Astyanax mexicanus: one gene and its partners. The protein of the gene in region 1 interacts with the protein of each later gene in a pairwise test. Links are inferred from orthologs where the notes say so. Each region holds a gene or a part of one and is shown in the gene's direction. Other genes may lie near its edges. The genes, in order: ubac1, trim2a and rnf216.

Evidence for each region.
Region 2: the proteins of ubac1 (region 1) and trim2a interact in binary tests that used the Homo sapiens proteins (3 or more experiments, as listed by UniProt). The link is inferred for Astyanax mexicanus from reciprocal best matches to the Homo sapiens genes UBAC1 and TRIM2.
Region 3: the proteins of ubac1 (region 1) and rnf216 interact in binary tests that used the Homo sapiens proteins (3 or more experiments, as listed by UniProt). The link is inferred for Astyanax mexicanus from reciprocal best matches to the Homo sapiens genes UBAC1 and RNF216.

The regions. Positions count from the first base shown.
Region 1 is NC_064429.1:25,238,653-25,245,958, reverse strand, and holds the start of ubac1 (ubiquitin-associated domain-containing protein 1), read left to right. Parts: upstream 1-4,217; 5' UTR 4,218-4,533; coding exon 4,534-4,671; intron 4,672-6,809; coding exon 6,810-6,930; intron 6,931-7,033; coding exon 7,034-7,107; intron 7,108-7,255; coding exon 7,256-7,306. Other genes in the region: entr1 (endosome-associated-trafficking regulator 1), read right to left, coding at 77-150, 833-1,243, 1,483-1,589, 3,011-3,059.
Region 2 is NC_064432.1:21,843,022-21,850,464, reverse strand, and holds the start of trim2a (tripartite motif-containing protein 2), read left to right. Parts: upstream 1-4,335; 5' UTR 4,336-4,399; intron 4,400-7,443. UniProt on the Homo sapiens protein: UBE2D1-dependent E3 ubiquitin-protein ligase that mediates the ubiquitination of NEFL and of phosphorylated BCL2L11. Plays a neuroprotective function. May play a role in neuronal rapid ischemic tolerance.
Region 3 is NC_064410.1:54,646,588-54,654,164, reverse strand, and holds the start of rnf216 (E3 ubiquitin-protein ligase RNF216), read left to right. Parts: upstream 1-4,560; 5' UTR 4,561-4,653; intron 4,654-7,117; 5' UTR 7,118-7,231; coding exon 7,232-7,298; intron 7,299-7,577.

The DNA.
Region 1 (7,306 bases):
AACGGACCCCAAGAAATCTAAACCTAATATAGGTTATAAAAAGAATAACAGAAGTAAATTTAGTATTCACTCTTACTTTGAGGAGTCTGTCTCTGACTTTTTGATGAGCTCTCTGATTTGCTTCCTAAGAAGGGAATTTTCTTCTCTTAGCTGGAAAAGACAGAAATGTATGACTTCTCATGTGTTAAATACAGTATACATGTGTTTACATGTTTACATCTCATAATCTGATGCAGAACCGCATAACATCAGTTTATCAGTAATACGATTAAAGCGTTTACTTGTGGTGTAATATCAAAATATTTTGTTTTGCAACACAGTGTTGATATTTATTCACAATATTAAATGATTGGTGTTTATTATCAGTTGGATGAGTAATAAGATTTTTGCTTTGTAAGCAGCCAAAAAAACTCACAGAATAAAGTAACATCATGTGTAAACATCATGTAAATCCCAAACCTCAGGTTGCAACTCTTAAAAAAAAAAAAAACATCGAGATTCAAAAAGAAAATACACCAGGTTGAAGATAAATCCTTTAGTTTCAGCAGTGCTCCACAAGTGTTTTGTCAGCATCTTGTGGGTGCTTTGTTAAACATTGTTCGTGGTACCAGGGTCTGTTTTCACACATGCACATACTGACAAATCTGAGAATACTCCAGTTAAGAGTATACATGAATTGAGAAATACAGTTTCTGAGCTAAAATCCTGCCCTTTATCAGATTTATACATTACTCTGATCTAAGAAATCAGAGTATGCTGTTTACTTGAATAATCAGATGAGCATCCATTAATGAAAAACCCAAACAAATAAAGCAACACAGGATCTCAGTACCTTCTGCTGGTCCCTGACCCTGTTCTCCGTACTGCTTATCTTAGTATGGTAGGATATATCGATGACCGACGTCTCCTCATCTCCTTCATAGCTGCCAGTGCTTCTCCTGTGGACATGAGTCTTTGGCGAGAAGCCCTCCTCTACTTCCCACTCGTTTGCAGTGTCGTCCTTGTCTTCACTGGACAGTAGTGAGTGATCCATGTAAGCACCGTGCTTTCCACACAGTGCTAACTCATGTGCCTCTTCCACAGCAGAGGGCTGGTAACTTTCAGTCCATTCATCGTCAGGTTCAGTGTCAAAGGACTGATCAAGCAGCGAGGGATCATTAAAAAACTGACCCTTGTGACTGTGGTCGAATCCTCTGGGGTAGTTATATTCGTCCTCCACATGACAGGCACCACCATGTGCTTTCTGCAGATATTAATAACATTAAAAAAAAATCAGCAGACAGACTGTAAACAACAACACAAACTACTTGAATGCATCCCTTGCATTTAGTTGCTGTCCAATTAAAACTAAATAGAGACAATAATAAAAGCAGCAAAATATTCTTAACTTTGAATGGAAGTAGTATAATAAAACAAAAAAAAATCTATTTTTCTGTAATAGGAAAGACAGCAATGGCCAAAGCCATTCTTATTGTACTTCACCTCAAAACCATCGCTGCTGCTGTATGGATAGTTTTTGCTCCGGATAAATTCTTTAAAAGAGAAAGGGTTGAGTTCATCTCCACCCTCTTTTGGCTCATCCACAGGATCTTAAAGCACAAAAAACACTAAATCACAACCACATCTCATAAAAATAAAATAAATACATATATTTACATATAAAAGACTAAGAAGACCAAACCACTGAACCACTACATTGTAATTTCACTGTTTTTGTAAATTGTTTTAAATTAACTGTGATAAATAATATTAGTACTAAATGGTTCTTTTTAGATACTAAAGGGTTATTTTAAGATACAAAGTGGTTATTTTGAGGTACTGAGTTTATTTTGAGATACTAAGTGATTATATTGAGAAACTATATGTTTTTTTTGTGATACTAAGTGTTTATTCTGAGGTACTAAGTGATTATTTTGAGATACCAACTGATAATTTTGAGATATTAAGTGGTTATTTTGAGATACTAAGTGGTTATATTGAGATACTAAATGTTTATTTTGAGATACTAAGTGTTTATTCTGAGGTACTGATTATTTTGCTCACTTAGTATCTCAAAATAATAACACAACATATCAAAATAACTTATTTTAGGTGGCGGGAATGAGCTTCCATAATATCAACATTGTATAATATGGTAAGTCGACATAATTAATAACATAATTATTGTGACAGACTTATTACATCCAGCAAGCATACCGGATCACTGTTTACTGTTTTTTAGAATGAATATACATCTCTAGGAAAATTAGTGACCATTTAAAAATAATGAGTTTCTTTGATTTTACCAAATTGAAAACCTCTGGAATATAATCAAGAGGAAGATGGATGATCACAAGCCATCAAACCAAACTGAAGTTCTCCAAAAGCATTGTGTAAGACTGGTGGAGGAGAACATGCCAAAATGAATGAAAACTAGAGTTTTTCCACCAAATATTGATTTCTGGACTTCTAAAACATTATGAATATGAACTTGTTTTATTAGCATCTTTTTTGTTATTTCATTTTCTGCAAATAAATGCTCTAAATGACAATATTGTCGTTTGTTTTTGGGAGAAATGTTGACCGTAGTTTATTGAACAAAACAACAATGCTCATTTTACTCCAACAAATAGTAAACAAATAGTAAAATCAGAGAAACTGAAGTGGTCTCTTAAATTTTTGCAGAGCTGTATTAGATGCAGGTATGGTTATGCCAGCGGCCTGATATTTAGAATATTTTGCCCCCTTTTAACTCATAAATACTAGCTATTGATTTTAATTAAAAGGGGTGATATAGATAATTAGGCTTAAAATAATTTGCCATGTAGGATCATTCAGCCATCAGTTTTGACCGTGCAAAAAAAGCATTTGTTCTCAAGCATTGTAAGACAATACATTCCATAAATACCAGGAGCAACAGTTGTCTTTTTATCTAGCCAGCTTTTCCTGTAGAGGGCTAGTTAATAGCTAACTGAGGCTAATCAGCTGGTTCAGGTATGATCTGTTCGGAACAGGGAGATATAATACTCACCATCATCCTCAATAATGAGCATTTTCTTGGATGCTTTGTGTTTGGACATTTCTGATGAGTAGTTTCTCCTGATCTTCCACTGTCAGACAGACTGAGTCCCTCTTCACCCTGCAGCAGGGGGGTCTTCCCTCCCCGCCCAGCTGTAAAAACACTGAACTGTCAACTAAAACTAATCAAGCGATATGGAGCTACGCAGCTAACTAGCTGCCTCTGGCTCTAAAACCACCCCCAGACTGGAGTCTAAATTAAAACTCATCTAAATAAACTCCAGCTGACTGTAAATACTTCTCCTGTCGAGTGCTGGACTTCTTCCCTCAGTTTAAAAGCGGGTTCCTGTGTAAAAAGAGGGAGCTATACCGCCCTCTAATGGTTTGGCATCTACAGGGATGAATTTGTCACAAACGTGTCTAACAAACTAATATAAGGAAGCAACTTTATTTTTACTTTATTTTTGAAAAAATAAAAAAATGTTGCCTCTGTACCAGTTTTAGAAAAAATAATGAATTTGTTGCTATGGGAGATGTCGCTCTTTGTTATTCCAAATTCTATCAGATGATTTTTACAGAATAAAATACCCACTTTGTTTGAACACCAGGGGGAGCTCCCGAGTGAGTCCAAAATTAATAGATTCATACTGAGCACTTGAGCAAAATAATTTTATCATTTAACAAATGTTGGAGAATCCATGAGTGATATGATGACACATGCTCCCTGAACCACTCTTTTACAATTCCATCCCGATTAATCCTGGGATTGCCATCTTAGAATATGCCAGCCCGTGCCATCAGAGAAGAAAAATTCAATTGATAGAATAACCAGCTGGTCTATATTCAGTACATTTAGGTAGTCAGCTGACCTCGTTCTTACAGCACATACTCTCGCTGAATTTAGACCTGACCAACTGCAGCAACCCCAGATCATTTGCTTAGTTAAATACAGGTTGTTTTTTTTTTTTTTGGTCAGGCAGTGTAGATTAATACAATACATGTAACACTTGCTTGACTCTAAAACACATATAGCATCAGTTATTATGAATAAATAAAGAAAAAAGTATATTGACAAACAAAGAATTAAATTATTTTCCTAAACACACGTAAAAAAATTCATTATTAGTAATAATAATAATATTCCGTTATATTACAGGCTGTGACAAAATAAACGGATCGGCCAATCAGCGTGCAGGGAGAACCCGCGCGTGCGTAGTAGCGCCGTCCTGCTCTTCCGTGTACAGTTGTCGCCTGCAACACAGGTGTCAACAAAAACAGGGTGAATATATCCAGCTATTTACTGAGAATCCATGCTCTACTGGAATATCTGTTAAACTCGGGTTAGAGGGGTGAACTCGAGACGAGCTATGGGGCTGGAAATGACGGAGCAACGTTAATAACTGGAGCTTGTCCAGTTAGTTAACCTACAGTGGCTGGATAAGGAGTCCTGGGGCAGCAGCCGGAGCTCAGAGTACACCATCACCACCACCACATTTCTGCACATCTACACTGCAGGGCTTCGGCCTGATCGCGGCGATGTTCGTGCAGGAGGAGAAGATATTCGCAGGTAAAGTCCTGAAGATCCACATCTGCACCATGGAGGGCGCCGAGTGGCTGGAGGAAGTGACCGAAGATACCACCATAGAGAAGCTGAAGGAGAAATGTCTGAAGCATGTACGTAGTAGTTACAGCTGCAGCTGGAGTATAGCTGTGTATCTATTCCCTCACTTTTCTATTATTTCGCTCGTGATCATTTTGTTATATAGTATATATACTATATAATTTACAATTAGGCTTAAAAAAGAGATAAAGGAGATAAAGAGATAGTCACTGTCACACTGTCAATAAGTAGGAAAAAAGTGACAAGGTGAGAGTCTAATATTGCCTCATGAGATAAAAGCAAGTCCTAAAAGGTTGATCTAATGGTATCCCACCCCACAAGTGTAGCTGCTTTATCTTTATTTTCATAATTGCAGTAGTCTGTATAAGAGAGACAATGTCATAATAGAATAACAGCCATTATTTTAAACAAATTAAATATTATTAAAATATATATTTAGCTGCTGTTAAGACAGCAAAGATTAGTCTCTTTTGAAATAGTGTAAATGTAAAAGAACTATCATCACTTAATAAAAAAGACATGTTTTTTTTTGTGTAACATGAATTTTAAGCATATCAGAAAATGTAAAATGTAGTCCCAGAATTTAGAAATCACACTGCACTCCCAAAACATGTGTAAGAATGTACCAGCATAATCAGTGTTACAGTACAGTACAGTAAATCGTGGAAACTTGGAATAAGCCCTGTGTATACATTTATAGCTAGTTAATTAATTGATGAGCTAGATTCGTAGAGGTAGTTATTAGTCAGATTAGGCCATATCTCATTATTTTTCTTATTTCTAAGGCTTTTTGCGTTGCTGAATATCCTCAGCTGCTTACCCAGGGCTTTTACCCGGGCCCTGTGGGATCGTCACTGCCATTACCAAGTATTTTTAGAAACCAGCAGGCGAGTAGACAGAGCTATTTATAATTCAGCAACTCGGGCTGTCACCTAGCTATAGCTGGAGCTGTGGGTTTGCTGGTTAGCTAAACTAGCTAGCTTAGCTAACTACAGTGCATTTTATCCCCATGGCTACACTCTCCAGGCTTCAGTATTTACTAGCTGCAGCTTGTAACCTAGCTATCTATCTCTTTGCTGCTGAAACGACTCTAGCTAAAACGACCCTAAACCTGTCCTTAGTGCTCAGTTTTGAGTATGCTGCTGCTCACAGCCACCATAAGGTGGGCTCCACAACCATGTGACATCCAGATTTTTACAGCTGTACTAAGAATTTGATACTCATGATACTTATAACTTGATGACTGTTGGTGTCTACAGTTAGCTAACTGCAATGGTTCTAGCAGGTGGTGCAAAATGAATTTTTTATATATATATATATATATATATATATATATATATATATATATATATATATATATATATATATATATACAGCTCTGAAAAAAATAAGAGACCACTTCAATTTCTGAATCAGTTTCTCTGATTTTGCTATGTATAGGTATATGTTTGAGTAAAATAAACATTGTTGTTTTATTCTGTAAACTATGGACAACATTTCTCCCAAATAAAAATATTGTCATTTAGGGCATTTATTTGCAAAATAAGAAATGGCTGAAATAACAAAAAAGATGCAGAGCGTTCAGACCTCAAATAATGCAAAGAAAACAAGCTCATATTCATTAAGGTTTAAGTCAAGTTCAGAAATCAATATTAGTAGCCCTGGTTTTTATTCACAGTTTTGTGTCTTGGCATGTTCTCCTCCACCTGTCTTACACACTGTTTTGGATACCGTTATGCCACTCCTGATTCAAAAATTCAAGCACTTCAGTTTGATTTGATGGCTTGTAATCATCCATCTTCCTTTTGATTATATTCCAGAGGTTTTCAATTTGGTAAAATCAAAGAAACTCATCCTTTTGAAGTGCTGTATATGTACAGTCATTCAGCTAAAAATCATTCAGCTTTTCTGCATATCATATTAAATGTAGTAATTAATGATAAATGTACAAATTGAACTGGTAAGACAAAATCCAATTCCAAAGTTTTTTTCCAAGATTATTGAAGCTCATCTCATGAATGACATGTTTAATCAGTTGGCAAGTACACATCAATAGGCATGAATTATGCTTTTAATTTTTTTTTTTTTTTTAATATTATCAGGCCCTGCACCACTATAAGAAGATATTGACTTGTATATGCAGGTGTGAATGGCAGTTATTGTACTCTAAACTATGTTTCTTAATTGACAGTGTGCCCATGGGAGTTTAGAGGATCCTAAGACGCTTACACACCATAAACTTATTCATGCAGCTACAGAGAGGGTTCTCACAGAAGCCAAAACGGTTGCAGATGAAAACCTTAAAGATAAAGGTATTGCACGGTTTTACTTTGAGATGTTAACAATAATTCTGGCATTGTTTCCTTCCTATGTGGAACTGTTTCCATATATAAGATTCACATTTTTTTTCTCCAGATTGCTTGTTATTGGTAAAGAAGAGGCCACAGCCACCTCGCCCACCAATGGCTGACATTTCTGCTGAAGAGAAGGTAATGCACTGTGATGACCCCTCTCTTAAATGACCCACACTTAATTGTGCAGTGAATCTGTACATCAAGTGTTGAATGTTGCAAACACTGATTAAAACAGATACATTATTTAGCTTGTTTTGTTTTGCACGCCTTTTTTTGTTGACAGAAGAAGCAGGAGGCCAAGGCTCCTGATAAGGATGCTATTCTCAAAGCCACA
Region 2 (7,443 bases), on another chromosome or scaffold:
TTCCTCTCCTCAGAGAAGATCCAGCTGCTATATGTTGTTTACATATAGTAAAATCAAAAAGCAGTACGACACAGCAGTGCTGCTGGAGTTTTTAAACACCTCTGTGTCTCTGCTGGACTCACCAACAGCGTCCTGTGAGCACTGATGAAGGACAAACACAAACTGTGCAGCAACAGACTCAGAGCTTATATCTCTGACTTTACATCTACAAGATGTAGCAGCTGTATCTGATCCACTTATACCAGCACAACACACACCGACCCCCCCACATTTACTACATCCTCTGTGGGGTCTTCAGTGTCGTGTAGATCTCCTGTAATAACAGTAACTATGTTTTTCAGATCTATTAGTGATGAAACCCTGAAAAGAAAAGTCTGAGAGGAGTCTCTTCAATCAATTCTCACCACCAGAACCTACAGATCTTATGATGGGGTAAGATCAACATGTCTACACACCAACTAGCCTGTTAATTATGTTACTGGTTATAAAGAACAGCCTCATTAAATAGATGTGTATCTGTATTTAACCCATTACAACAGTCTAAATCATGTTTCTGTTATAAATGTGTCTCAGACCATCTCCTGAAGTGGTTTGAGCAATTGGATTTGTACAAGGTAACGCTGGTAAGTAGGTTCTACATAGCACTGAAGGTAGAACCTGAGTTTTTAACTCAATCTTCAAACAGGATAAGAAAAATAATACCTAAAATTAACACCTAAATAAATATGAATAAAATAGAATAAATTGTATGAAGTGTACTTTGTCCTTTGGGAGTGTAATTCAATACAAGCATAAGCATTCAAAATAATGCAATAATAACCAAGGACACGTCTACATTTCTTTATTTTAACTTTGAACCTTTTAACTATTTGTATGTGCTGCACCTGCACTCTATTATACCATTTTATACTATATTACACTATATCATATAATCGGTATAAACTAATGTATAATCTACTGTCTTTACCATATACTATACACTTTTGCATATTTAAATTGAACTTACCCTTGGTAATTTTGTATTTTTGTTTTGTTGCTTGCTTGTAACACCTACATTGCATATATCCTATTGGACTTTTACATGTGTACTCTAATTCATGTTTCTTAGTCTATCTTGTGCTTATATACAGTTTAGATGTTTTATCCATCTATTAATACATTCAATCTAAATGTTGATACCTGCACCAAGAAATAATCCTTGTGCCTTTTGTACTAGGCGAATAAAGATTCTAATTCTGATTCTGATTCTAATAACCAAGTAAATAATATGTTTTCCAAAATAAAAAGAATCTGTAAGTACTGTAATGTCATCTACCTCAGTGATTAGATTAAACAGCACTAGTGGTGATCAGTATAATCAGTATGTGATGCATTCTCTATGAACCTCTGATGGCGGACTGGGCTTCCTGCTACAGGATGAATGAGCTGCTTGGACAAAGTGGCATCCAGATCCAGACATTATGGATCAATAAACATAAGCAGCTGGAGCAGCACTTACCAGCATTAGCCAGCCTGCACTATCCTGCACTCAGAACCAGTACAGGATGAATGATGGTAGTTGGAGATGGGTGGGGTTGTTGTGTGCTGCTGATGTCCGGTCCACACTGACCGGGCTTTGTTCCTTTAACAATCTATTTTTTTATTTTATTATTTTTAACAAAATAATTCGTTTTTACAGTATATGTTATTATAACATCAAGATAAGTCTCCGTTCACTGAAAGAGGTGGGGTAGAAGTGGGTTTGACATTTCACCTGGGGGTGAAACAATAATTTTTAGAGCCAAACCCACATGGGACACGGTGCCAGCAATTGACCAAATAAATTTAATTTTAATATTATATAATATCTATAATATCTATAATATAAATATCTAATATACTATAGATATGCATGAATATGTAAAGAAATATTTTGGGGTTGTTTTCATTTACTTAATAAAATAGTGTTTTAATTTTTTTTAAATAAAAAATGTATCCAGTTCCACTGCATCATTAAAATGATCAGTGTTGCTGTGGGGGATTTTGTCATTGATATATTAATACCATTTTTTTTCCAAAATATTTCATTTGTGCCATAGAGGGTGTAACAATCACAATAAATGGCCTTGCCATTAATATCACAATATTTCAAAAATATCTCAATATAGTATTGTATATATAGTTCTTGACAATATATAACCCTAGTTAGGCTGTTGTGATCATGTATCGTGAATATGAAATATTCTGAAGTGTAGTGTGCTGATTCTCTGTTAGGACATGATCCTTTATTTCATACAGATACAGTATATAGGGTGGATTTAAATTGTGTTTATAAATTGTATTTGTGATTGCAGTAATTGTGAGAATGTGTAATTTTACCAAGCATGTGTTGGCTGAAATCTTTTTTTCATTTCTCTGTAAATAATATCTCATCGGTTACAAGAAAAAACAAACCCTGTAGTAGAGATAGAAAATCCTATGGTTCTGTATCGGTATCAGATGATTTAAAGCTGAAATGTAATTAATTAAGCTGACCCTTACAGTGGTCAGTTCATAAAGGACATTTAACCCTCACTAACTGGATACCCCTCTCAGGAGCGTATATTACAGCTTGTACAGTAAATAGCTACAGCACAGCAAAACAACTAGCCAAACAAATGATGCTGACCATACAGAACATCAAATTGGTCAGTCCACATTTAACCACCACCAAAAGTACAGCAGCAGCAGTGATAAATCTAAATCTTACTGTTTAATAATCAGCACTTTTGTGACATATTGCCAAGTTTAATGTTGCATCTAGCCCCACCCTCAAGCTGTGTTGGTGATTGGCTGATCAAGCTGAAAAATGATAAGAGATCAGTCCCAAAAACACTGATCTGTCCCTCTTTATCCTGTAGTGTGGGCCAAGCAAGAGGGAAGGCCTTGTCTCTTTTACTTTTATTCAGTGTAAATGGAACAATACCTCAACCAAAAGAAAAAGAGCTGAATAAATAAAGACAGAATGGCAAAATAACCCTCAGTGCCGTCATGCGTGCCGTAAATGCTTCATTTCCAGCCCAGCAAAGCCTCTCAAAGCCTGGAAATGCGACTCTTTCATGCGATTATCCTCAGTGATAATGAAGGTGGGTGCGGGTGAGGAGGGGTACAGGCTGCACCCGCTGCTAGTTTTCAGTCGGTATCAAAGGAAATCCAAATTTAAAAGGAATGCAAATAACTTTCACTGCTCCTCCGTCCCCCATCACCCCTTTAAGATCCCCCCCCACTCCCCCGTCCCAGGGTTTTCATGGGGCTGACTCATAATGGACTGTTGGCATGGCAACCGTCTCCTCAATGTTAGAGGGAAGGCCTCTAAAGGGTTGCCCTGGTAACCATGCAGTTCTGCCCTGTCACCCCATCCTCTTAGCCCAACCAATTCGCCCAGGGTCCCGAGAGCCCGATCAGGTCTTAGTACAGAGATCTGATATATAAGTTCATAAGTAAACTTAGAATTAACTACAGTATCCAGGTTGTGTTGACTTGTGGTGTCAATCGATTTTAAAATATTTTTTTTGATGAACCACATAAATATTATGTCATTAATTACACATTTTTACTTATTAAGACTAAAGCTTTTATTATTGGATATTTAAATGTGAATAAAATGACAGAAGTGTATAATACTTATAAAAGTCAATTGCTTTAAAATATGAATTGTATTAGTCAAAATAATATTCTGTGATGAATCATAATTGTAAAAAATTATGACAAAACAAATGTACATAATGGTACTTCCCTGTATTTTTAATAATTTTGTTATGTGATATATCTGGCAAACAGACTTTTATCATAAAATTAGTTTTAAAGCTTTTTATATGAGATTATTTTAATAAAGCGCTTTAGCTAAACATAGTATACATACATGTAATTTAGTGTATTTTTGAAATCAATTATTCCTTTTTTTAAATTATTAAATAAATTACAATTTATCTGAACTGAAATACTCTTTTTAGGCAGATATTTAGGCTACGTCTTATATTATAAGCTGATATCATATATTATCGCGTCCGTTGGGTGTTTGTTTAGCTCATAATTTACATAATTCATCTAAATAATTCATGAATTTTACCGCAAGTATAAGCCTGTAATCAACGGGTTTGGTTTGAAATCATTTTTTTCCCACCTATTTTCCGCCAAAATAAGCTTTCCTGCGCTCTGATTGGTTATATAGCAAACAGCTTGAGACTACGGGCTGTTAGCCAATCAGAGCGCACGTGGGAGGACAGAATTAGCCAATCCGAGCGCAGGAAGGGCGTGGAAAACATGAGTAAGCCTGTCCGCGCGTGCTGTGGGGCAAACCAAGTGGTGAGGCGGGGGGGGCAGCAGAGCTGTTAATGCCCCAGCTGATCACACAGCACGCGCCTGCCGTCTCAGCACAACCGTAAGTGATGAATTTAGACTTTATCGTCTTATTTTTACTTAAATCGGTCTTAAATTCTGGTCTTTCTGCTGGTCTTATAGGTAAATATGCAGTTATTTCAAGGCTGCGTCCCAAACCACACACTGCACGATAACACTGCACTCTGTAGGCTGAGCAGCTAGTGTACTATAGATGAGTGTGTACTAAAGCTGGGGTACTGTTCTGATGTACTGTTTAGTGGTAGTGTGCGGTTTGGTACTATAGACTGTGAGACTTTAATGTAATGCTCTGTATGAAGTCAGTATAGTACAGTATAGTGCACTAAAATCATAATGATATGATTATGGACTGTGTCAAGGTTAAGTCACTGTAATTGACAAATCCACAATCAATCATTTCATATACAGCTCTGGAAAAAAAATAAGAGAGCACTTAATGAGGATGTTTTTCTTTAATTTTTCCAAATTAAAAACCTCTGGAATATAATCAAGAGGAAGATGGATGATCACAAGCCATCAAACTAAACTGAACTGCTTGAATTTTTGCACCAGAAATGGCATAAAGTTATCCAAAAGCAGCGTGTAAGACTGGTGGAGGAGAACATGCCAAGATGCATAGACAGTTTTGATAGTGATTTATATAGCGATGTAACTATTGCATATGCACATAAAGTGATGTTAAAACGTTATATTGTGCCATAAATATCGTGTCGAATCAGATATTAATGGCTTTTAATACGTCTTACTTAATACTGCATCTTCTAATTTCTGATTGAATCACAACACACCAGCAGGTATAGAGGATGTCTGTGCTGCTACCATCAATCAGCGTTTTGTGTGATTAATTTTTATGCTAGTAACAGGGTTAAAGGGTTGTGACAGGGAACACATGAGCAAGGCAGAGGTCATATTTGTTGAATGTTATATTATTTCCGCTCCAAAAACTTGTGTTATTTCCAAACACCATTTATTGGCTGTGTTAATGTGTTAAACTATCAATTATGAGCTTTTCTAGAATGAAGCATTTCACATTGAATTGTTAACAGTCTTAAATGTTTAATCCTGCAAAGAAATGGCATCCTATGATCCTACTATGATGATGGAGCAGAGTAGACATGGCTGTATGCCTGTATATTTACAGTGTTCTGAACCTCTGTTAGGCCTGTGATGTATTTATAGCACTGACTGGCCTGGATTCTCCCTTCTCACACTCCTCATTCACACTGGAACCTGTGTGGAATATAACAGCACACCTGAATCAGTGACAAGACAAGATAAGACAAGACAACCATACACTCATCATAAACTGCCGAAATTTAGACATACCATTGTCTGCCAAGTATAAATGCATGCACAATTTAGATACTAGTCACATGACATGACCAGGTGTAAACAGGGTTGCATGATATTACTTTTTTAATTTGCATCCAACCTCTTATTACGGATTCAAAAGCCAGATTTAAAAAATACAATTCTGAAATTTGTGGCCAGTTTAGTCTCTGTGCTAAATACTCATGAGCTCATTAACATGTAATTTTTGATTGGCTGTTACTGAAGTCACATGGCAGTGTGAGTGTAGTGTAATCTAATAAATCAGACCCGGAGTATAAGTATCAGAAGTGACAGCCCAGATGAAAAAGAGGGTTTAGTGAGACGGCCCTGTAGACGGTAATCGCTGACTCACTCTGGGGAATTGTCCTGATCAGACGATGATTACTCGTGTCGCTGATTTGATGAATTAGGCGGCGTCTCCAGACGAAATTTCTAGTCCTTAGGGAACACCGTGACCTATAGTAGTGCAGCGCTAGATCAGCTGACCCAACATGAGTGGCTGTTCCCTTATAATGTTCCCATATAATGAACATTAAAGTAGGGGGGCACCAAAATATACATGTTTGGCCCAAAATAACTTGCCACTTTTTACCACTAAATAAATTAAACAGTCTAAAAATATATTTTTTCTTGTTTTTCAAAGGAAAAGCACTTACTTAACACTTAGCGTTAATATCCTAACAGAAAAAAGCAAAGCACATTATATTTTAATAGTGAATTTATTTCAGCAGTGCTGTTCTTGTCACACATTTAACTAGTCTAATCATTAAATGTACCTCAGTAGTGCTACTCTAATCATAGGTTTACTTCTGCAGTGCTATTTTACTCATAAATGTACATCAGCAGTTCTATTCTAATTATAAGTGTAATTCAGTAGTGCTATTCTAATCATAAACCATAACAGTGCTATTCCAAACATAAATGTACCTCAGCAGTGCTATTCTAATCATAAATGTACCTCAGCAGGGCTGTTTTGAAGATGCTAAGGCTAAGGTCGCTCAGCTAACATTACTATGTCTGTCCTCTACAGCTCATATCTTTCAGTTAGAAAACAGTCAATTTGTAAAGTAGGAATAAACTAAATACAGAGTGTGATAAGTGATGCTGAACATTCCATTTCATTTAATGAAAATAGAGCATAGAAATTAACTGGCCATTTCTCCTCTCTTCCTGTTGTCTCTGCTACTGCTAAAAGATTCCTACATTATAGTGTAGAATAGTGGATGCATGCATGAAAGAAAATACAAAGTAATTAACCTGAAAATTATCATTTCTGTGTAGTCTAATGCCTTATGAATATGAAGAATAATTAAACAGTTGAAATCTTAAGTCGCTTTTGAGAGTTTTAATATTCAAAATGCTCAGTATTCAGATAATAATAATAATTCTGAATTATCTCCAGACTGTCTCTTTAAGACTGGGTTGGTGGTCCCAGTGCATTACCCATTCCGAGTCTCCATGCTTCACTGCTCCGTTTAACTTGTCAGCAGGTTGTCGTGTTGATGGGCGGCGCTGAATGTGGTAATTGATTTTGTTTGGGTAGGTTAGGGGGGGATCCTGATGGGTTTTAGGGTTGAGAGTATGTAAATGAAAATGGGACCATTATAGATGATGGGTGTGACCTGAATGGAGTAGACTCATTAAAGTCTCAGATTCTCGTCTGTACTGGTTTGGTGTTTCAGGCTCTGATGAGCTTTAGTTAAAACTCCAGCGCTGTTAAAGGGTAGCATTCAG
Region 3 (7,577 bases), on another chromosome or scaffold:
GTAACTTGTAAAGTAACTTAGTTACTTTTAAAATCAAGTAATCCATAAAGTAACTAAGTTACTTTTTAAAGGAGTAATCAGTAATCGGATTACTTTTTCAAAGTAACTATACCATCACTGGAAGGCACCTATATGGAACCACATCATAACATTTAATTCACTGAAAGAGCAAAAGATTACTTATGGTTGGGACACATTATTAATGAGGAGCATCTAACCAGGTACATCACCATGTTATATTCACCCTACCGCATTGTTTCTACTGGAAAGGGCACCTTTAGGATACTGTCTAGTGAGGGTGGCATGGAAGACGCCTCAAAACGGAAACCTTTTCAAACCTTTTCTACTGAAAAGGCAAACAATCACCCATAGATGGGACATATTATCATTGTGGAGCATCTAACCAGGCTAAGATCACCCATAGTTGGGACATGTTATCAATGTGGAGCTTCTATCAAGGCACATCACCATGTTTTTATTTACCCTACTGCATTGTTTCTACTGGAAAGGGCACTTTTGGGAGACTGTCTAGTAGGGGTGGCATGGAAGACGCCTCAAAACTAAAACCTTTTCAAATAAAATGGCAAAAGATCACCCATAAATGGGACATATTACCATTGTGGAGCTTCTATCAAGGTACATCACCATGTTTATATTCACTCTACCTCATTGTTTGCACTGGAAAGGGCACCTTTGGGAGACTGTCTAGTAGGGGTAGCGTGGAAGACTCCTCAAAACTGAAACCTTTTCTACTGAAAGGGCAAAAGATCACCCATAAATGGGACACATTATCAATATGGAGCACCTAACCAGGCATATAACCATGGTTTTATTCACCCTTCCACATTATTTGTACTGGAAACGGCACCTTCAGAATACTGTCTAGTAGGGGTGGCATGGGAGACGCTTCTAAAATGGAAACGTTTTTTACTGAAAGGGCAAAAGATCATCTATAGATGGGGCATACCTGTATTATCAATGTGGAGCACCTAACCAGGCAAAAGATCACCCATAGATGGGGCATATTATCATTGTAGAACACATAACCAGGCACATTATCATGTGTTTATTCATCCTACCACATTGTTTCTACTGGAAAGGGCACCTTTGGGACACTGTCTAGTCAAGGAGGCATGGGAGATGCTTCAAAACGGAAACCTTTTCTACTGAAAGGGCAAACAATCACCCATAGATGGGACATATTATCATTGTGGAGCATCTAACCAGGCTAAGATCACCCATAGATGGGACATGTTATCAATGTGGAGCTCCTATTAAGGCACATTACCATGTTTATATTCACCCTACCTGGAAAGGGCACTTTTGGGAGACTGTCTAGTAGGGGAGGCATGGAAACATTTTCTACTGAAAGGGCAAAAGATCACCCATAGATGGGACACAATATCAATTTTCTTCTAAAAAAAGATCACCTAGGTAGGCACTCAAACTCTTTTTTTGCTCACAGGAGCTATTAGGACACTTTTTTATATGTGATACAGACTGTTTTAAAGATGTGGAGATGTGGAGACAGCATTCTTTCCTTCACGTTAAAGACATTTACTGAACATGCTGTGTGCAAATGTGGAAAGAAATGTTAAAAACCCAGGCTTTACAATGTTTCTCTGGGATTGTTTTATTATTATCAGGCAGCACTTTATAAAATATGGCCAAATCAGACAATGATAATAGGCATAACTGAAAACTTAAATACAGGAGATACATAGCCTCATATGTTTATGTGCCCCCTCTCCCAGTGACCCAGTGATGGTACAAGAAAACTGTAAATTGTTGTCATTGATGGTGCAAAGTTTTAAAACTTTATTCGAGAGCCACCCCTTTTCAGAATATACAGGCCCTAGGTTGTGCAGCACATGCCCATTTTATTTTGTTCACCCCTGAACCCTTCTGGATGTTCTTAGAACATTTTAATTTAACGTTTTTGAACATTCTGGTAATGCTGCTGCAGTATCACTTGTATCAATGTTTTTTCTTTAGTAATAATGTACTAATCATTGTGATGTTTTCAGAACGTTCCTGGAACATTATTTCTGTAACATTACAGGGTAACCTTCCTGAAACCTTTTCAAAACATTGCTAAATGTTCTTATAATGTTCTCTGTTTGTTGGTCTAATAGAATAATGAAAAATGGTCCTATTGTAATGTGTTGTATTGTTTTTATATTTGCAGATACATGATTTATTTACTTATTTATTCATGCATTACATTTCACTCATACAGTATTTTGGAAAAGTTTCAGTGTTTGATTTGATATGTTTCCCTGAAGTTGACTGTCCCCTATGTTTGAGTCTACTGGAATTTATAGGCTCCTGGCATTCGGCCCCACTGGCCCAGCCAGTAATCTATCTTTGATTGTGTTTATGACGCCACAATCAGAAAGAAAGCATTCAAACTCTCACTTTATCTTCCAGCATTAGGCTAATAACTACACTGGCTTTAAGATCAAAACACTGGCAGCTTGATCTGCAGGCTGTGTTCCCACCTCAAACCCACAGTAATATTAAATGAGCTATTTTAGCTTTTATGGTTAGATGCAGTCCTTTGGGAACAGAAATAAATCAAGGCACCCGTCTGACTGGGGGCAAAGTGCTGTTATTCAGTTCAAAACAAAATGCCTTCATCCAGAAAATCAACACAGAGAAATAGGTGGCTGGAGAAACAACGCTGTTATCATTGATTAGATACTGACAAATTAACCTAATGCAGGGTGGTGAACATTTCTAAGAATGAGATTTAGGTGGACCCACTCTGATATAGCATGGCTTACATTTTATGGCATTTAGCTGTTCCTCTTAGCTATTCTTATTTAGAGTTATTCAAGATTACTCATATTTTATGGATGTTATTTTCTGAGTATTTTATTTTAGGCCAGTGTAATATAAGGAGTCTAGACTCTTATTGGAGTCTAGACCCCTAAATGGCGTGGAACCATGTCCGCTTCTGTTCACCACCGCTCTGCAGCTCCCTTTGTTGATGACATATGATGTGACGTTTTGACGGTTCCACTAGAACCAGAGTTCTTTTGGTGGAAAAGCACTATGAACGGTTGTAGTGGGTTTTGGGGTAATAGAGATTTATTTCTTTTATATATATACAGGGGTTGGACAATGAAACTAAAACACCTGTCATTTTAAAGTTTCATGGCTAAATTGGAGCAGCCTGGTGGCCAATCTTCATTGATTGCACATTGCACCAGTAAGAGCAGAGTGTGAAGGTTCAATTAGCAGGGTAAGAGCACAGTTTTGCTCAAAATATTGCAATGCACACAACATTATGGGTGACATACCAGAGTTCAAAAGAGAACAAATTGTTGGTGCACGTCTTGCTGGCGCATCTGTGACCAAGACAGCAAGTCTTTGTGATGTATCAAGAGCCACGGTATCCAGGGTAATGTGAGCATACCACCAAGAAGGCCCAACCACATCCAACAGGATTAACTGTGGACGCAAGAGGGAGCTGTCTGAAAGGGATGTTCGGGTGCTAACCCTGACTGTACCTAAAAAACATAAAACCACGGCTGCCCAAATCACAGCAGAATTCAATGTGCACCTCAACTCTCCTGTTTCCACCAGAACTGTCTGTCGGGACAATAAATTATTGTGGTCTAAAACCAGGTGTTTCAGTTTCATTGTCCAACCCCTGTATATATATATATATATATATATATATATATATATATATATATATATATATATATATATATATATATATATATATATATTCTTTTTTTTTTTTCTATATGTACACTATTACACTGACAAGCCAAAAAATCATGTTCATGAATTGTTACCTCAGAGGATGTATGTCTTGGGAATACCCGAACCTTAAGTAAAGTTGTGAGGTGTTATCATGTGAGTGAGGTTGAAGTGAGGGGGGTTATGGAAGTGGAAATGAGGCCTGATAGTGGGTGTCATTCCTGAAGTTGTGTGAGTATTTAACATTCCTTGATCCAGAAGTGTCTCATGTCCACATCATAGAATGTATTAACACCCACAGTATATACAAATAGAAAAATAATTAATTCTGTCTCTAATGCATTAAAGCAACATCTCTGATTTATTTGTGAACATCCATTTTACATTGATTTAGCATAATGCTTTTCTATATATGTATTGTTTGTATTACACTTTACTATGTGTATATGTATATCTTGTATATCTATATCTTGTTTGTATTTTGTTCTTATAGCTAGTGTAAAAAGAGACATTTAAATAATAAAAAGGATTATTATTTTACTATAATAATTATTAATTTTATTGTGAGTGTAGTAGATTCAGAGTCCCAAACATTAAAAACCTTTCAATGAATGTAGCTTGATTTAAATAAAATTGATTTTTTTATCCACATTGATTTTATGTTGATTTAACATTGATGAAATGTTGGGGTTTTATATGTATTGTTTGTAATCTTGTTTGTTTTCTGTTCTTATCGGTTGTACAGTGTACATGCCAATAAAAGAACGTTTATCCAATGTTAGTTGAGGTACTCATTTCAAATATTAAAAAACAAACTACATTTCCCATCATCCTGTGCTGCACGCTTGTCCCCGTGACGTAGCCAGGCTTGTTTTGGCCGTTTGTTTCGATATCCGGCTCTGAAAGCTTGTCGATGTGTTGGTGGATTTAAACGGAGAGGTAGGTTTACCGCTTTAAACAATCCCGTCACGATGAAATACGATCATTTACCATCTTTATTAACCGGTGCTGGGTGAGGAAATGTGAGTCTGAGCGGCTAAATCTGACCATTCTTTAATCCTGTAGCTACTTACCCAGACTAGTAGGCTATTATCTAACGTGCTGAGCTAGCCTGCCAGACCACTCTGTGCCAACTCGCCTCTTTAGCCTGTTAGCTGCCTGTGGAGCTGTGTTGGAGCTTTACGCTGTGCTCCTGGACTCTGTGGAGGTTTTAAATGTAAAATATATGGTTTATATATTTAGCTGTACTCTCTGTCACACTCACTCTGTGTCCACTAACTTCAGTCTGTCGTTGTTTACACTGTTTACTCGTTGCTAGCTTCACTACAGGGCGACAACTGGACCAGAAATGAAAGTCAGTTAAGGGGTTTAACATCCATATAGCCGTGGAAACTTCTTTTAGACTAGTTTAAGACTGTTTAAGAGGAATTTTAGGTCATTTTAATGTATTGTAAGCTAGCTGATAACTTCATTAACACATAAGCTAACACTAGGACCACGTTTTTTTGTAGTGAATCAACATGTCAGCACCTAAAAAAACTCCCAGTCGATTTAATTTAGTTAAATGGTGAAGTAGTTACACTGCCTGTCCGAATAAAAAGTCACCACCTGGATTTATCTTGCTGCAGTTGGTCTGCAGGTCTAGGTTCGGCAAAAGCATGTGTTGTCAGCTAACTACTTTAATATACTGAATATAGACCAGGTTATTCCATCAATGGATTTTTTTTTTATAAATTCCAAAATAAGACAATGTCAGGATTCATGGGGCTGGATTTGTGAAAGACTGGTTCAGGGAGCATGATATCATCATTTTCACACATGGATTAAGAGAGTTCACCACTGAGTCCAGATCTTAACCTCATTGAGAATATTTAAGATGTGCTGGATGGAGAAGAGCTGCTTTGTGCAGTGGTCAGACTCTACCATCATCAATGCTGCTGCAAGATCTTTGTGAAAAATTAATCCAGCAACACTGGATTAAAATAAATATTGTGATATTGCAGAAGCTTATCGAGACAATGCCCCAGCGAATGTGTGCTGCAGTCAAAGCTAAAGGCGGTCCAACCAAATATTAGAATGTCTGACCTTTTATTTGGTGGCAAAGTAAAGTTCTTTACAGCACTGTTTTCATCATTTTAACTCCAGAACTCCAGTTCCTAATCCAGTTCCAGACACATACTGAACATCCTGAGAGCATCACTACAGGACAGTGTGTGAATCTGTCTTAATTCATGATTTGACCTAATTTACAGAATGTACCCTAGGTGTGCTGGAAAAAAATCTGGAAATAAAAGCATCTCCTTATAAAAGTCTAAACTTTTGGATTCTACAGATCTGTTTCAACCAGTTTAACAATTTAAACACTTTAATTGACCTAAATGTTTTACATTGTGTGTGTGTATATATAATATATATATATATATGACCTGAATACAGGTTATGTTCTATCATGATTTAAACTTTAAAATATTTACTTTTCCTGCGTGTTCCCACAGTAAGAAACAAACAAGAATGAGCTGCTTATTTATTTTTGAATTTGGCATTAATATTCTCTTATGGGTTAAAGAAGCACTAAACCATAAACCATATTGTTTTATCAATAGCTGAAATGTGTCCTTTAAAATAATAAAACATACCAGTCCTGCTTAACATTTTTATAACATTTCCTAACCTTAAAAAAAGCTTTTATCGTGGTCATTTCCAAATTATCATTTTGAAAATAATATAAATTTAAAACAATATATTGAATTGAAAGTACTGTATTGCAGTTGTCCCTACAAATCTTCAGTGAAATGAAATGTAAAAGAAAAAACTCTTCTAAACAGATTGCTTGATTAGGAGCTTGGACATTGGCTAGAAACTTGGTTTAGGTCAATTAATTCAACATATGCTGATTTAGAAAACATCTTACTGGTCATATAATACTACTAATAAATTGCTAACAACTATAAACAACATACTTTAAATTAATTGACAGTTAAGTATTATCTGTGCTATTAAAAGCTATTAGAATTATCAAATGTTTGTTCTTAACTCTACAGTCTGTTGTATTATCTCCCTTTTAACCGGTTTTTCAATGGTAAAAGGTTTCATTACTCTTTCCTTTCCCTCCTTCAAAAAGTCTTTCCTGGGCACATTTCTTGGGGCGGTTTCCCCAGACGATGATTAATCCTAATCTTGTACTTCACAGCATTTTAAATGGAGATTTTCCATTGATAGGACAGTATAGTTTAAGACTGGGCTTTATTCCTGTCTGGAAATCTGACCCTGATTGTTTCATCAGATTTTCAGACCATGCTTACCTAATTACGGTCTCTTTCAGTTGAAGTGTTTTAACTGTTGTTTTCCAGAATAAACAGCAGTAGATATCACTTGTGCTTACTAACTCTATCTCCTCCCGCAGGGTGATGCCTCTCTGATATCAGGGCGCTGTGTGTGTGCATGAGTGTTTGTGTGCAAGAGAGAGAGAGAAGGAGGGGAGGAGGAAGACTCAGGGAGTCTGGTTGGCTGTGTTACCATGGCTGACGGAACTGGTGATGAAGATGTCATTCATCTGGCCAGTTTTAACACACATCGCAGCCAAGGTTAGTGTCGTTTCTTTGCTTTGCAGTTAGTGTTTTCATGTTTTTTAGTGTATGTAGCCCCTTTCACACATGTACCTAGAGCTCTAAAAGTTGTTCGGAGGAGCTGTACGTATGAATACAAATTTATGAATCAGTTATAATAGACTGTATCCTCCCAGCCCTTTCTAGTGTAAGGTCTGGGTAATGTTGAGAAATCCCTTGTGTAAATAAAACAGGTAATTAGCAGCAGAAATTGTATATTGACATGGTTTATATTTGCCAAAAAAGCAAACATAAACC